Linked DNA regions of Medicago truncatula. The protein of the gene in region 1 binds, or shares a complex with, the protein of each later gene. Links are inferred from orthologs where the notes say so. Each region holds a gene or a part of one and is shown on either strand. Other genes may lie near its edges.

Evidence for each region. The genes of interacting proteins can lie anywhere in the genome.
Region 2: 50S ribosomal protein L6, chloroplastic (region 1) and 50S ribosomal protein 5, chloroplastic share a complex: the UniProt entries of both Arabidopsis thaliana proteins name them as parts of the 50S ribosomal subunit. The link is inferred for Medicago truncatula from reciprocal best matches to the Arabidopsis thaliana genes emb2394 and PSRP5.

Annotation. Positions count from the first base shown.
Region 1 is NC_053047.1:21,810,668-21,817,923, reverse strand, and holds the start of 50S ribosomal protein L6, chloroplastic, read right to left. Parts: upstream 3,009-7,256; 5' UTR 2,879-3,008; coding exon 2,844-2,878; intron 1,624-2,843; coding exon 1,315-1,623; intron 1-1,314. UniProt on the Arabidopsis thaliana protein: This protein binds directly to 23S ribosomal RNA and is located at the aminoacyl-tRNA binding site of the peptidyltransferase center.
Region 2 is NC_053048.1:41,272,797-41,278,745, forward strand, and holds 50S ribosomal protein 5, chloroplastic, read right to left. Parts: upstream 1,325-5,949; 5' UTR 1,241-1,324; coding exon 1,159-1,240; intron 1,046-1,158; coding exon 702-1,045; 3' UTR 501-701; downstream 1-500. Other genes in the region: protein ROOT PRIMORDIUM DEFECTIVE 1, read left to right, coding at 3,882-5,135.

The DNA of each region.
Region 1 (7,256 bases):
TCCATTTCTTTCTCCTTCTGAAAAACTTCAAAATAACTACTTGTAGAAAAGGCTAGGAAAATAACACGTGCAGCAAGAATTCCAATAAGAAGAATTCGCTAGAATCCCAAGCATTAAATACTTGGCATTCCAGAGACAGCATTTTGTTTCAATCAATATCAAATCTGGAAAACATAGGTAGCCAAAGTGGTATCTATAATCCTAATCAAATACAAATTCTAATGAGATGCTTTTATTTTAGTATAAGAAAGCTCATACCAAAATAGATTTTTAGCCTCTCTTGAGTTATATAGTATGGCAATAGTGTATGTGTCATGTATTTTAAAGTTACTTTAATGTACGTTAGTATACAAGTGTAGCTCCATTGGAGTTGTTTCTATGTTTGATTAACCATTTTTTAAGCTGCGATTCTCTTTGCTCACACCTCAATGGTCAATAGGCCGATGATGTTCATCGTCTAAATTTTTTAACACAATTCTTTTAGTCTTCCGGATCACAAATTAAAATTGAGAGTTGATATTTGGACTTTACTGCAAGCCTATGTAATGGTACTCGGTTGATAATTACAAATTTGGGTAGATATATTCTTGAAAGAAAGGTAATATCAGGAAGCAACATTGGGGAGAAAGTCTATATGCCTAGAATGTTAAAAATTGTACGGTGATTGCATAAATACGGCTACTAATGTAGTTGCATAAGTAGTTGATAAATTGCATTTTAATATTATTTTTTCCAATGTATATGACCCGTGCGGCAACACGGGTGGAAGTCTAGTAAAAGATAGAGTCAACATCTAAACTTCCCTCAATAACAATTATCATAAAAACCCATAAATTATCATAATTTAAAATAACTTAACAAGGTCATCCATTCTGCATCACTTCTTCCAGTGTTAAGTATACAACTGTTGTCAAAATACTAACTACAACATATATCTTGAATGTTTTCATTGTCACGACTCGAAAAGGCAACACCAATGAATGAATCAAATGTTATAAATTTACAACTATCGTTATGCTATGATTATTGGCAAGGATTTTGATTCTCTGCAGTCAGAGAAATCCTGCATTCATGCTCTCAAGTTAAAATTAGCCGTTTGAGCCTAAGTCGGATTGAACTTTTTCAATGTTTTCACTCTGAACCCAAACCACAGCGTAGTGACTGAAAACCCACTATTCATCTCCGACATGTACTCAAACGATTTGTTTGACTGCCTGACTGATATTTTTTACAGCAGAGAATGTGAATCCTCATTGGCAACATCTATTTTTCTACATCATGAAACAATTAAAAAAGTTAAGTAAAATGAAGTACCTGAAAAGCCCGTGCATTTGATTCGCCCTTCTAGTTTCAACTGCCTTACTGACCTTTAAAACCCCTTCTTCTTGCCTCTCAACCTTAACTTCTCGAGGATAAGTTAATGAAAGTTCTCCCAAAGGACCTTTCGCATGGAAATATTGCCCTTCCATTTTGATGGTTACATTGGATGGAACGGGAATTGGTTGTTTCCCAATACGTGATTCCTTACATTCGGTAGTCTTTCTAAAGAACCCAACATGAGTAGCAGGAGCACTTGAAATTCTGATCCTACTTCTCTCGCCAACAAAAGATGACTTAAAATTGCTGAAATAGGAAAGCAAATGATTAGTGAGAGACTGCTTGAATTTATAAAATATTTACTTTGAAACTAACAATTTTTCAAGTAACTAAGAAATTATAAAAGAATGATTAAGAAAACCAAAATTCATGAGTGACTAAAACAGATACAGGGCCTGGTAAACTAGATCTTATCCTTCAATTAGAAGCCACTTTCCAGTTCGTAGTGATTTAGGTCAACATTAAAAAATGCAATTTTGATAAATGATGTTCAATATCCTACTATAACATAATAAAAGCCTCACATGAAGATCTTTGTGCAAAGGAAACCAATAAAGCAAACAAAACAACAATTTCCCAAAACAATTGTTCTTTTCTTTGATATAGCATGTTTGGTATCACATTGAACTTAACGAAATCACAGCCGCAACATGATTTTGTTGAAGTTCCAAAATGTAGCTTTTGCCAAAATCACGACAATAATTTTATCCAGAATTACCTGTTTTACTACTAAGAAAGCCATGAAACACAGACTCAGACACGGACATCGATAATAATTTAAGAAAATGAAATAATTCAACGTAATAATGTGTCGGTGTCGTGTTGGTGTCGGACACAATACGTATCCAACACCGGGACACGTCTAATCCGATTAGTATTTGTGCTTCATAGCAAGAAAGTACACTCGATGAAATTATCTTTTCTGTAAGCTAACAATCACCTCACTAACTATGTGAAAAACAAATACAAAGTAATTTATTCCTGAAATACAAAATTATACTACTAACAAGCATTTCATCAAACATCTTAAATGCAACATCCATTTAATTGAATTTCGTCAAACATTTACAACACTATCATCCTCAACTACATCATCATGATTCATTACAACCAAATTTAACATACACGACAAATAATTATAACCCTTTTGACCCAATTGAGAATTGAAGAAAGAATACAGAAAAATAAAACCACATTCACAAATTGAAACAGTTATAAAGTTAAAAAATATTGGGTTTTCTCAAAGTTTAAAACTTTAAGTGTTTTAAGAAAAAGGGTACTTTTTATTTCATTGCATTCAATAATTAAACACCATATAACAATTATTGAACAAAAACTTGAAATGAAACTTATTTATATGATTAAAATGGTTCAAATTGAAGAGAATGAAGAATGAGATTTGAACAAGTAGAGTAAAGAAGAGAAAGAGAAAGAGAAATAGTGAAATTAAGGGTGTTTGTTTGAACCTTAGTTGAAACGAAGAGGTAACTGAAGAAGCCATTGTTACAAGCCACAAGGCTTTGCTTTTTGCGAATGTTTGCAAAAATGTTCCTTATCCTGTTATCTACTTCGGTTATACTGTGTGTGTGTGTGTGTATGATGGTGGTAAAACGGTAACTACTGTTTGTTGGATTTTTATTGGTTGGTTACACTGTCGGATTTTGATACTTCTGTATTTTTTTATGAGTTATGATTCATAGACATAGGTTGCAATACATCCCTCGACATCCACACAAAAATCTGACATGTGGTCACATGGACCCCGCACAAGCACATTTTCTCTTTCCTCTTCTCTCTTCCTAGAATATAAGGTGTATAAAGGTATTTTCTCTTTCCTCTCCTCTTCTCTCTTCCTAGAATATAAGGTGTACAAAGGTGTATGGAAATAAAGGGTGTCTATGTAACATTTTCCTTTTTTTATTTTGGGTGAAAACAAAACTTTGAACCGAACTGAACCAAAAAAAACCTAATCGTTAATAACAATCAAAAACTGAAATGATTTGGTTCAGTTAGTGTGATTCGGTTCGGTTTAATGGATCAGATCAATTTAACTATTTGGATCGATTATGGTTTTTTAAAAGTTTTAATATTCGATTATTTTTTTTTCAATTGTATTAATGATTCTCAAAATAAATTTGGTTTAATTTGGAAGTTAAAAAAAATATTGTTTTTTTATTTTTTTAAATAAAAAATATTTTAAAAAATAAATAAAAAATAAAAATTACATACGGTGGCGTCCACGTCAGCATTGACTTGGATAAAATTGGACTGGGATCAAAACTGCAAAAGGGACAGTACTTGGAGAGTTAGATTATATTTTATTTTGTTAAGGGGCCAAAACAGAAAGATCAAAGGAAAATCTTCCGGTTAGAGACTCAAGTCTTGAATCCCGGGAAAAAATCCCCGCAAATGAAGTACGTCGCCTATAAAACTATGGCAGTTTAAATCTACTTGGATAAGTTGGCAATTCGCTAAGAGAAAAAGAGGTTTCGTCTGACACTCTAAAAACCTCACTTTGCTAATCTAGCAGAATCCTATCGGAAGAAAAATGTGATAGAACCGTTTATATTCAAATAACAACATCTTTGTATTATGTTTTGACACTAACAAGACTAATAATAAAGGAACACTTTGTCATATACCTATGTCTATGATCATGCATGATATTATAAGAGAAATTAAAGACGTGCAACTATCTTTAAGGTAATGACAAATGGTCATCAAGCACAAGACAAGTTGATTAAGATTTTAAGAAATCAAGCAACTATTTTGGTTAACATATTATTACCAAAACTCATTATATGTGCAGAGCACTCCAAGACATCGATGGGTCCTAATGATCATCTGCATGGTCCACTTCGTTCATGCATACATCATTAATTGATCAATTATTGAAGATCATGTGGCCATATTTTATTTGACTCGGAAGCTATTAAGATCTTCAAAGTACAAAGAAATGATTCTTTCAGAGCTTTTCACAGAGATATCATGTCAAGGACAAAGAGATACAATAGATACTTGGACTTTAGAATATGTATCCATATAACATATATATCTCTTGTCTTATAAATTGAAAATAATCATGTTGAAAGATGTTCTTGTTGTTGTTATCGAAGTTGCTATTGCAATCATCGTTTGTGTGTTAAAGCACCATATCCTTCAATGTTAACTTGATGGCAAGAAATCACAAAGCGTTTTTAGTCTATTCTTGGAGTCATTTTAGTTAAATTAGGTAGTTTGAATGAATTTAGTCAATTTTGGTAAAGGATTCGATAAAATGTCATGAAATCATAACAACAGAAAAATAACCTTGAAACCATGAAACTCCACTCGAACTAGGGCTGGAAATGAGTCGAGTCGAACCGAATCTGTTTGAGCTCGGCTCGACTCGATAAGAATTGGTTCGGCTCAAAACTCGGTTCGAGTTCGACACGAACTATTTTTTCAGCTCGAGTTCGGCTCGTTTAAAGTTCACGAACAGTTCGGTTCGGCTCATTAGGTTCAGTTCGGTTGCTCAACTAGTCCAAAAAAAATTATAAAAAAAAAAAATTAATTTATAGATCTTTGATATTTTATATATATATATATATATATATATATATATATATATATATATATATAAAATATTGAATTCAAATAAAAGTTCCCACAAACATGCATATAATAGACATAAATTATATAAAGTTAAAGATTGCATAAATACGAAGAAAAATATCTGATACAAGTAACAGAGACAAAAAAATCCAACAAAATTTAATTAGTTGTGAACAAAATTCATAATATTCTTTTACTTTTAAACTCCAACTGCTCTTCCCTTCAAGACAAAATTGTATTCAGCCACATTTGCCACATTTGAATTAAAAAATTTTAAAAACTAACTCAAATTGATTTATATATATAATCAATAATCGAGCCATCTCATGAACCTAACGAGTCGAATTATATGTAGCTCAAGTTCAGCTCATTTAATTAACGAACTTAATTTTCAGCTCAAGTCCAGCTCGTTAGGTTCATGAACCAAGTTCAAAGGATTAGATATCGAGTCGAATGTCGAACTATAATCGAGTTGGTTCGGTTCATTGCCAGCCCTAACTCGAACTAGACAACTCTCAGATTTATAAAGCTATAGCTCCGTGCTTTTTTCAAACAAATTGTTTTTATTCAAAATCTTTGAAAACAAGACTTGATTACTTTTGTTTTTAATGTTATAGTTCCCTGAAACCAAGAGGTTATTGGAATGGAACAAGTTTGTTTGATATGATTTTGTCCCTATGCATCGAGAGATTAAGGGATCAAGATAAACTACTTTGCATGAGTACTAGAACTTGGAAAAGGCTTTAAACGTCAAGATCTAACTAGGACTCTTGTCATAAGCCAAAGGCTCAGTAGAATAATACTTTAGTGGAAAATGTTGATGACCTAACCTAGCAACGATGCATGTTAAGATTATGTGATTATAATATGATCGGTAGTCTTCAGGGACTTAACATGATGGTTGAGTTTACTACACCCCTAGTAGCCACTAGGTTGCCAGAAATTCGTAGAAATCTGTAGCTCTATAGATCTATGTAAAGCTTGTAACACTCATATTTCTATTAAAGCAATTAAACATGAGAATAATACAATTACAAGAAATAGAGGCTACGTCATCATTCAAAAATTCAAAACCAATAAACATGTATATAAATCTCAACAATCGCAACGGAATATAAACCAGAGTACATCAAATATACGTGTCATGAATCAATTATTACATCAACATGGATGAATCTCAAATCCCAACATACGGGTAAATCTCCAATCATATCAATAATCCAAAACAAAAGACCTAGACTAAGACAAGTCTATATTGTAACACCCCGTTTTCCCAATATACAAATTTCATAAACATTTATCAGAGTAAAAACCACAAACGGGATATCACATAGAAACGTAATCCAAAAACAGTTAAATAATAATTTAACCTTCACAATATCTTTAACATAGCAGCGGAATATTAAATTCAAAAATCATAAATCAGTTTGGCACGTAGGCCCCATCAAAATAGTTCATATTCCATAACTTAATAAAAATAACATATTATCCACGTAAGAGAATGAACCATGTTATAGCATATAACCCCATCCCGTTACGTATCAGAGCGACCTAGACGACACAGTGAAGGCAAGGCCACTCACGACGGCAACTGCACACTAAGCACGATCACCTGCAAGTTACCCATACGAAGGGCAACATTTTCAAGCAGAAGGGGTGAGATTTCATAATACAATAACATTAATCAATGTAATTGAGAATCATAAATTAACATCATATTCATTCTATTTCTAACTTTGCATAATTGCTAAACAGTTATCACTTAATCATATATCCAATCATTAGGAATAACATAACATAATCAATAAACACATATCACGTAATCACATAATCAATCATCATCAACAAGGCATCTTAATCATGACAATGTGACAATGCTCTTAGACTTCTTATATGCATGTGGTACCAATCGTCATCATATCATCAAAACATATCAAAATCATGCATATATTATATAATTATAATATAATTGCCTAAACTCGATTAAATAACGATTAAACGAAAGTGGGCGTTACAACTCTCCCCCACTTAAAAGATTTTCGTCCTCGAAAATTTACCTCAAGTAAACAACTCTGGATACGACTCCAGCATCTTACTCTCAAGCTCCCACGTCAAGCTTTCACCAGTCGCTCCCGACCAAACGACTCTCACGAGAGGTATCTCTTTGCCCCTCAACGTCTTCACTTTACGATCATCAATCCTTAACGGTAAAGTTTCTACCGTAAGGTTGTCTCTAACTTGCACATCGTCACTCTGAATTACATGAGATGGATCCGGAACATACT
Region 2 (5,949 bases), on another chromosome or scaffold:
AGAAATCCATAGGAGAAAAGATGAAAAATCTGAGAAAACTCGGAGAAAGATTTGATTGTTCTTGTTTGATGAATTAGAAATGTACTAGGAAGAGACATTTACAGTTGACACGACACAAATAATTTGAAAAAATGAATAATTGAATATAACCATATGTATCGGACACGGACACACGTGTTGAACACCGGACACACCTATAATGAGAAGTGTCGGTGCTAAACTATATAGATTCCAAATTAAACTCCTATTTCAATGAGAAACACTCATGGTTACGAGCAATGCACCGACGATAACCAACGAAAAGTGTTGACCAGCTAATTCACCCAAATACAGAGTTATATTTGCTCCACTCTTTGCACCTATTCATTTGTTGGTTTTCGTCGCTAAGCTCATCGTACCAAATAACACTCATCTTTCAATATTAACCAAAATGGGACTAAGTAAAAATATCCAAACACATGAATCATATCATTGATTCCAAATCAAACCATATTTAAATATTAACCAAATGTAAGGCATCTACATATAAACTAAAACCCTTGATTGAAAATGAACAAAAATTGTCAAAATACATACATGATACATTGTAGAATGATTAAGAAAATAACAAAAAATAAAAAACTAAATTGTTGAGAATAAGGGAAAGAATCAGAGGTACAATAAGAAGAAATCAGGATTAAACCTGCAAACAGATATAATCTTCAAACACTCTTCAATTTCTTCATCTTGGAAGGTGGCCAATTACCCTTCTTCCTCAACTTCCTCTTTTGAACAAGTCTCTTTCTCCTCAACCTTATCTTCTTATCAAGCTTCATCTTCAACCTCTTCTCCTCCCTCTCCTTCAATTTTGATTCCAAAGGAAGCTTATCTACAGAAACAGCATCACTCTCTTTCTTGCTTTCACTTTCAGACCCATCTGCAACATTGGATTCAGCAGTTGCAGATACAATAGAAATTGCATTTTTCCTTGGTTTCACGACAAAGGGTGTCGAGATTTGAAGCCCCTTCAATGAGTTTGTGGGTAAACCAACGTGCACTCTTGAAACTGATAAACAAAAACATAGTTCGAGAAAACTAAGATAAAAGAAACAACAAGAATAATAAAAACATGAGAATGTATTTTGGAGAAATTAAGGAAGAAGAAGTGATGGTACTTACTTGGGGTTGTGGTGGGAATTGGGAAAATGGAGGAAGAAGAAAGAGGTGTCAGCGTGAAGAGATTGGAGCATAGAAGTGCCATGGTGTTGTGTTTTTTTTTTTTGTTCAATTGAAGAATTTGAGAAAGATGAGAATTGATTTATGGATAAGAAGGCACAACATGTGTGACACACCACTTTTTGAGTTTATTAACTTTTTTGTTACCACTTTATATCACGGTTAAATATTAGGGGTTTTGTTTTTGAATGATAAAATATGGGTTTGAACATGACGAGTAAATAGTCAATTATCTTTCTGAAATTGTAAGTTTCGTCAATTATCCCCTTAAAATTAATAAAATATCAATTACCCTCCTGAAATTGCACAACGTTAATCAATTTACCCCCTCCGTCAAATTCTTCTGTCAGTGAACATAAAATTTTGCACATAAGTGTAAAACTCCAGGGGAGTATTTGCAAAACGTCATGTTTACTAACGAAAAAATTTGACGAAGAGGGTAAATTGATTAACGTTGTGCAATTTCAGGGGGGTAATTGACATTTTGTTAATTTTAGGGGGATAATTGATGAAACTTACAATTTCAGGGGGTAATTGACTATTTACTTGAACATTGATAGATTATCAACAATCAACATGTTTTTGGAAGAGTTTTTTACCCGAGCATTGCTATGCACTACGGGATAATTATTCACTGGATTTGACGAAACTCAAAAAACACTAACTATTCAAGGGTAAGGGTAAAGTGGTCATATAGAAATGGATTGAGGATAAAAATGTAAGGCTTAAATATGAAAATGGTTCCTGCAAATATCTGCCGTTTTGGTTTTAGCTCTTATAAAAATATTTTTTTGGTTTTAGTCTCTGCAAATATAGAATATTTGGTTTTTGTCTTTGGTATTTTGTTTTAATCGTTGTAAAATCATTTCATATTGAAATTGGTCTCTATAATATTCATTTTAGTCCTCATTTTGAGGGACTAAAATCAAATATTCTACATATTACAATGACCAAATCCAATATGAATCAATTTTACAAGGACTAAAACAAAATACCAAGGACCGAAACCAAATTTTTTATATTTGGAGGGACTAAAATCAAAAAAAATATTTTTATAGGGACTAAAACCAAAATATTTTTACAGGAACTAAAACCAAAATGTAATAACAAATTCACAGTAAGTGCATTCGTTGTTTTCCGTTTAACTGATTTCGTACTATTAAGCATTTCCGTTTTTACCCTCCTACAAGAAAATGAATCATTTCGAGAGTTGTTTATTTAAAAAATAGTTCTACATCCGATTTGATGATTAGTCTTATACTTCTATTAATACTAAAGGGTATAAATCTTTGTTGAATTTGGTGGAGAATATCAGGTGCATTCATTTGTGTGCGAGTTTCAATTGTTATTTTTTCACTTTGTTCTACTAAAAACATGTATTTATTTGACAATATTTGATTGATTTCACATGTAAGAAAAAATTACGTCGTGGGTATCTCAAAACTAAATTCTTCAATTTAAGTAAATACTCTTTACAATGTGAATGTGTATAAACTAAATCTTTATTTTTTTTTCGATAAAAACAATCTTGATACGTATCAATGTATGTTTTTGTTAACCAACTACAAGTAGAATATTTGATCTTCATGTCACGACTTAATCTCACGTCATGATCAACATATAGATTAACACTAATTCGTTATATACTTAACCTTATAAGCCTAATAATACACTATATAACACATGCACATTTTGAAAATACAGAGCTACTAAAGTTTGTATAAATCAAAGAAAAGAACAAATCCTATTCCTATGGTTGAATCATACTAAAACCCCAAAATAGAGGTCTACCATGCAAAAAAGAAAAAAACAATTGGAAAAAACTCACCTCCGACTCTCCCTATCTCGTGTTTCCTCTCTTTAGTAGCTCAATATGAGTGGCAAACTTTAACCTCGAACTCTAATTCTAAAAGCTTCCAAATTTTAATAGTCAAACTCCATCACACTACACTCTTCAAACTCTTCGCCAACGCTTCCAAATCACCACAAAGTTCCACAACTTCAAATCCTCTGTTATGAGCAATTTTTAGACCTTCAAACACCCTTGTAATTCTGCAGCAAACGCATTATATGCACCAACGAGTTTCGCAAATCCACAAATTCAGTTACCATCACTATCTCGAATCAAACCACCACAACCTAACCTTAAAACACAAGTAAATCATGAGATAAAACTAACTTTTATAAACTAAAAGAATATGTTCTCTCTTAAAACTCAAATGTAAACTTAAAAATATTATGAAATCAAACACACAAATTACGCGAGTCTCTCACCTCACAATTCTTATAGCTCTAAATACGCTTCTTCATAATAAATCTCAAATCTAGTACATTTTTTTAGTAGAACAAAATGAAAAAAATAACAATACACACAAATGAATGCACTTGAGTTTGAAATCTGACCACATTTGAGTTAAGACTTAGGATTTGTAACTAATCAACTAAATACTTCTTAAGATATCTTAAATTAAAAACTAGTCAGAAAAGGTATCAAATGTGTGTGTAAAAAAGTTTTACACGTTAAATTCTAGTACGTGCATAAACCCCTTCTTCTGTTATCCCACCGCGCCCTTCTCCTTTTCGCACCCCTCTAATCGATCTTCCTTTCATTCTCGTCTCTCTCTATCACAAACCTTTCCCTTCTAAACCTGCAACACATCAATGACATGAATCCATTATCAACCTTCAGATACAGAATCTTCCAAGCAACCACCACAATCTCATCATTCTCACCTTTTTTCCTCTTCAACCAAAAACGATGGAAAAAACCCACCATTTCAGCACAAACCCGTTTAGAAGACCGAATAAGAGACACCCACTTTGACAAATTAACAACCCACTTCAAAAAACTCAGCCTTGTTCTCAAAACCCGCAACCTCATATCAAATCGAAAACGTGGTTCTTTTGTCTCTCTTCAACTCATGTCACGCTGGAAAAACATTACAGGACTTAATGTCACTGTTACTTCCTTTCTTCAAAAATACCCTCATGTTTTTTATCTGTTTGTTCATCCTTTTAGGAGAAACATGTGCTGTAGAATGACGAAAAAGATGAAAGAGTTGATCTTGTTGGAAGAGGTTGTTGTGAGACAACATGAGGTTGAGGTTGTTAAAAGGGTGAAGAAGTTGCTTATGATGTCTGTGAATGGTACTCTTCATTTGCATGCTTTGAGGTTAATTAGAAGAGAATTGGGTCTTCCTTGTGATTTTAGAGAATCCATTCTTGGGAGATATAGTGATGAGTTTAGGTTGGTTGATTTGGAGATTGTGGCATTGGTTGGTTGGGACGATGAATTGGGAATGGCGCGTGTTGAGGAATGGAGGGAAAGAGAGTATAGAGAGAAATGGTTGAGTGAATTTGAGACCAAGTTTGCTTTTCCTATTAATTTTCCAACCGGGTTTAAGATTGAGAGAGGGTTTAGGGAAAAGTTGAAGGGTTGGCAAAGGCTATCATATACGAAGCCTTATGAGAGAAAAAATGTTAAGTGCGGTGGGGTTCAGAGGTATGAGAAGAGGGCTGTTGCTGTTCTTCATGAGCTGTTGAGCTTGACTGTGGAGAAAATGGTTGAGGTTGATCAATTGGCTCATTTTCGAAGGGATTTTGATATCGAAGTTAATGTGCGCGAGCTACTGTTAAGGCATCCGGGGATATTTTACATATCTACAAAGGGAAATGCTCAAACTGTTTTTCTTAGGGAGGCCTATGAGAAAGGCGGGTTGATTGAGCCTAATCCGGTGTATGAAGTTCGTAGGAATATGTTGGAGCTTGTGTTATTAGGACGCAGAAAAACCAAACAATTGTTAGCTTCTTGTGATGAATCCAAGGAAGAGAGCAATGCTGTAGTCTATGAAGTGGATGGGGAAATTAAAAGAGAAGGTGATTGGGTGATTCCATTCTTGGAGGCTAATGAGAAGAATTGATCCTCGTGATATTGTGAAGGTAGCAGAAAAAACATATTTGGAGAGTTTGCTAATTGGTGTTTCAGTTAACATAACGAGTACTCAGCAGCTGGTTCCCATCTCTATAAAATGCATGCTCAGGGGAAATAGTCAAGTGAGAATACAAGCAGGTAGTTTCATACTTTTGTTTTTCAGCTAATTCAACAATTTGCAGTTACATTTGACTGGTTTGTTGATTGTATCTAAATATAATCCTCATGGCACAAAATAATTACTATCATCAATATTTGTTAATGTGCATATGATATGACTCCAAATAGTACGTCATACCTTCCTGCGAACATGAATTTCCAATACAAGCTGGACTTGTCATTAGGTAAAACTAGATTCTTGTGATTGATTGAAATACAAAAGATGTTTATGTAACTGCCAATAATAAAAATCTGTATTTCAGTAGTTTCAAGGTTCTTCATTTTGAATCCTTGACTGGACTCCTACGCATATTTGAAGTGAACTAGTGGTTGCTTTGTGGTATTAAGAACTAGTGAATTATAAAAAAGAGGTGCAGTGTAGTAATGATTTCCTATTGATTGGTTCAAGGTGTAGCCTTATGATGTTGAAAGATTAAAGAATATGTGTTTGAAATTTACAGGTTCTAGATTACCCCCTTTTTTAAAATTAAGCTTGCTTACCTTGTTGTCTCAATTTGCTTGTAGCTATCAGAAAAAGTGTGTTCACTGTTTGTGTAATTGGATCTTCTTATTCTATATGTTAAATGCTCGTATTTCTTAGCCGAGATAAATTTTGGCGAAGCAGGATCTGGTGGATTTGTGGT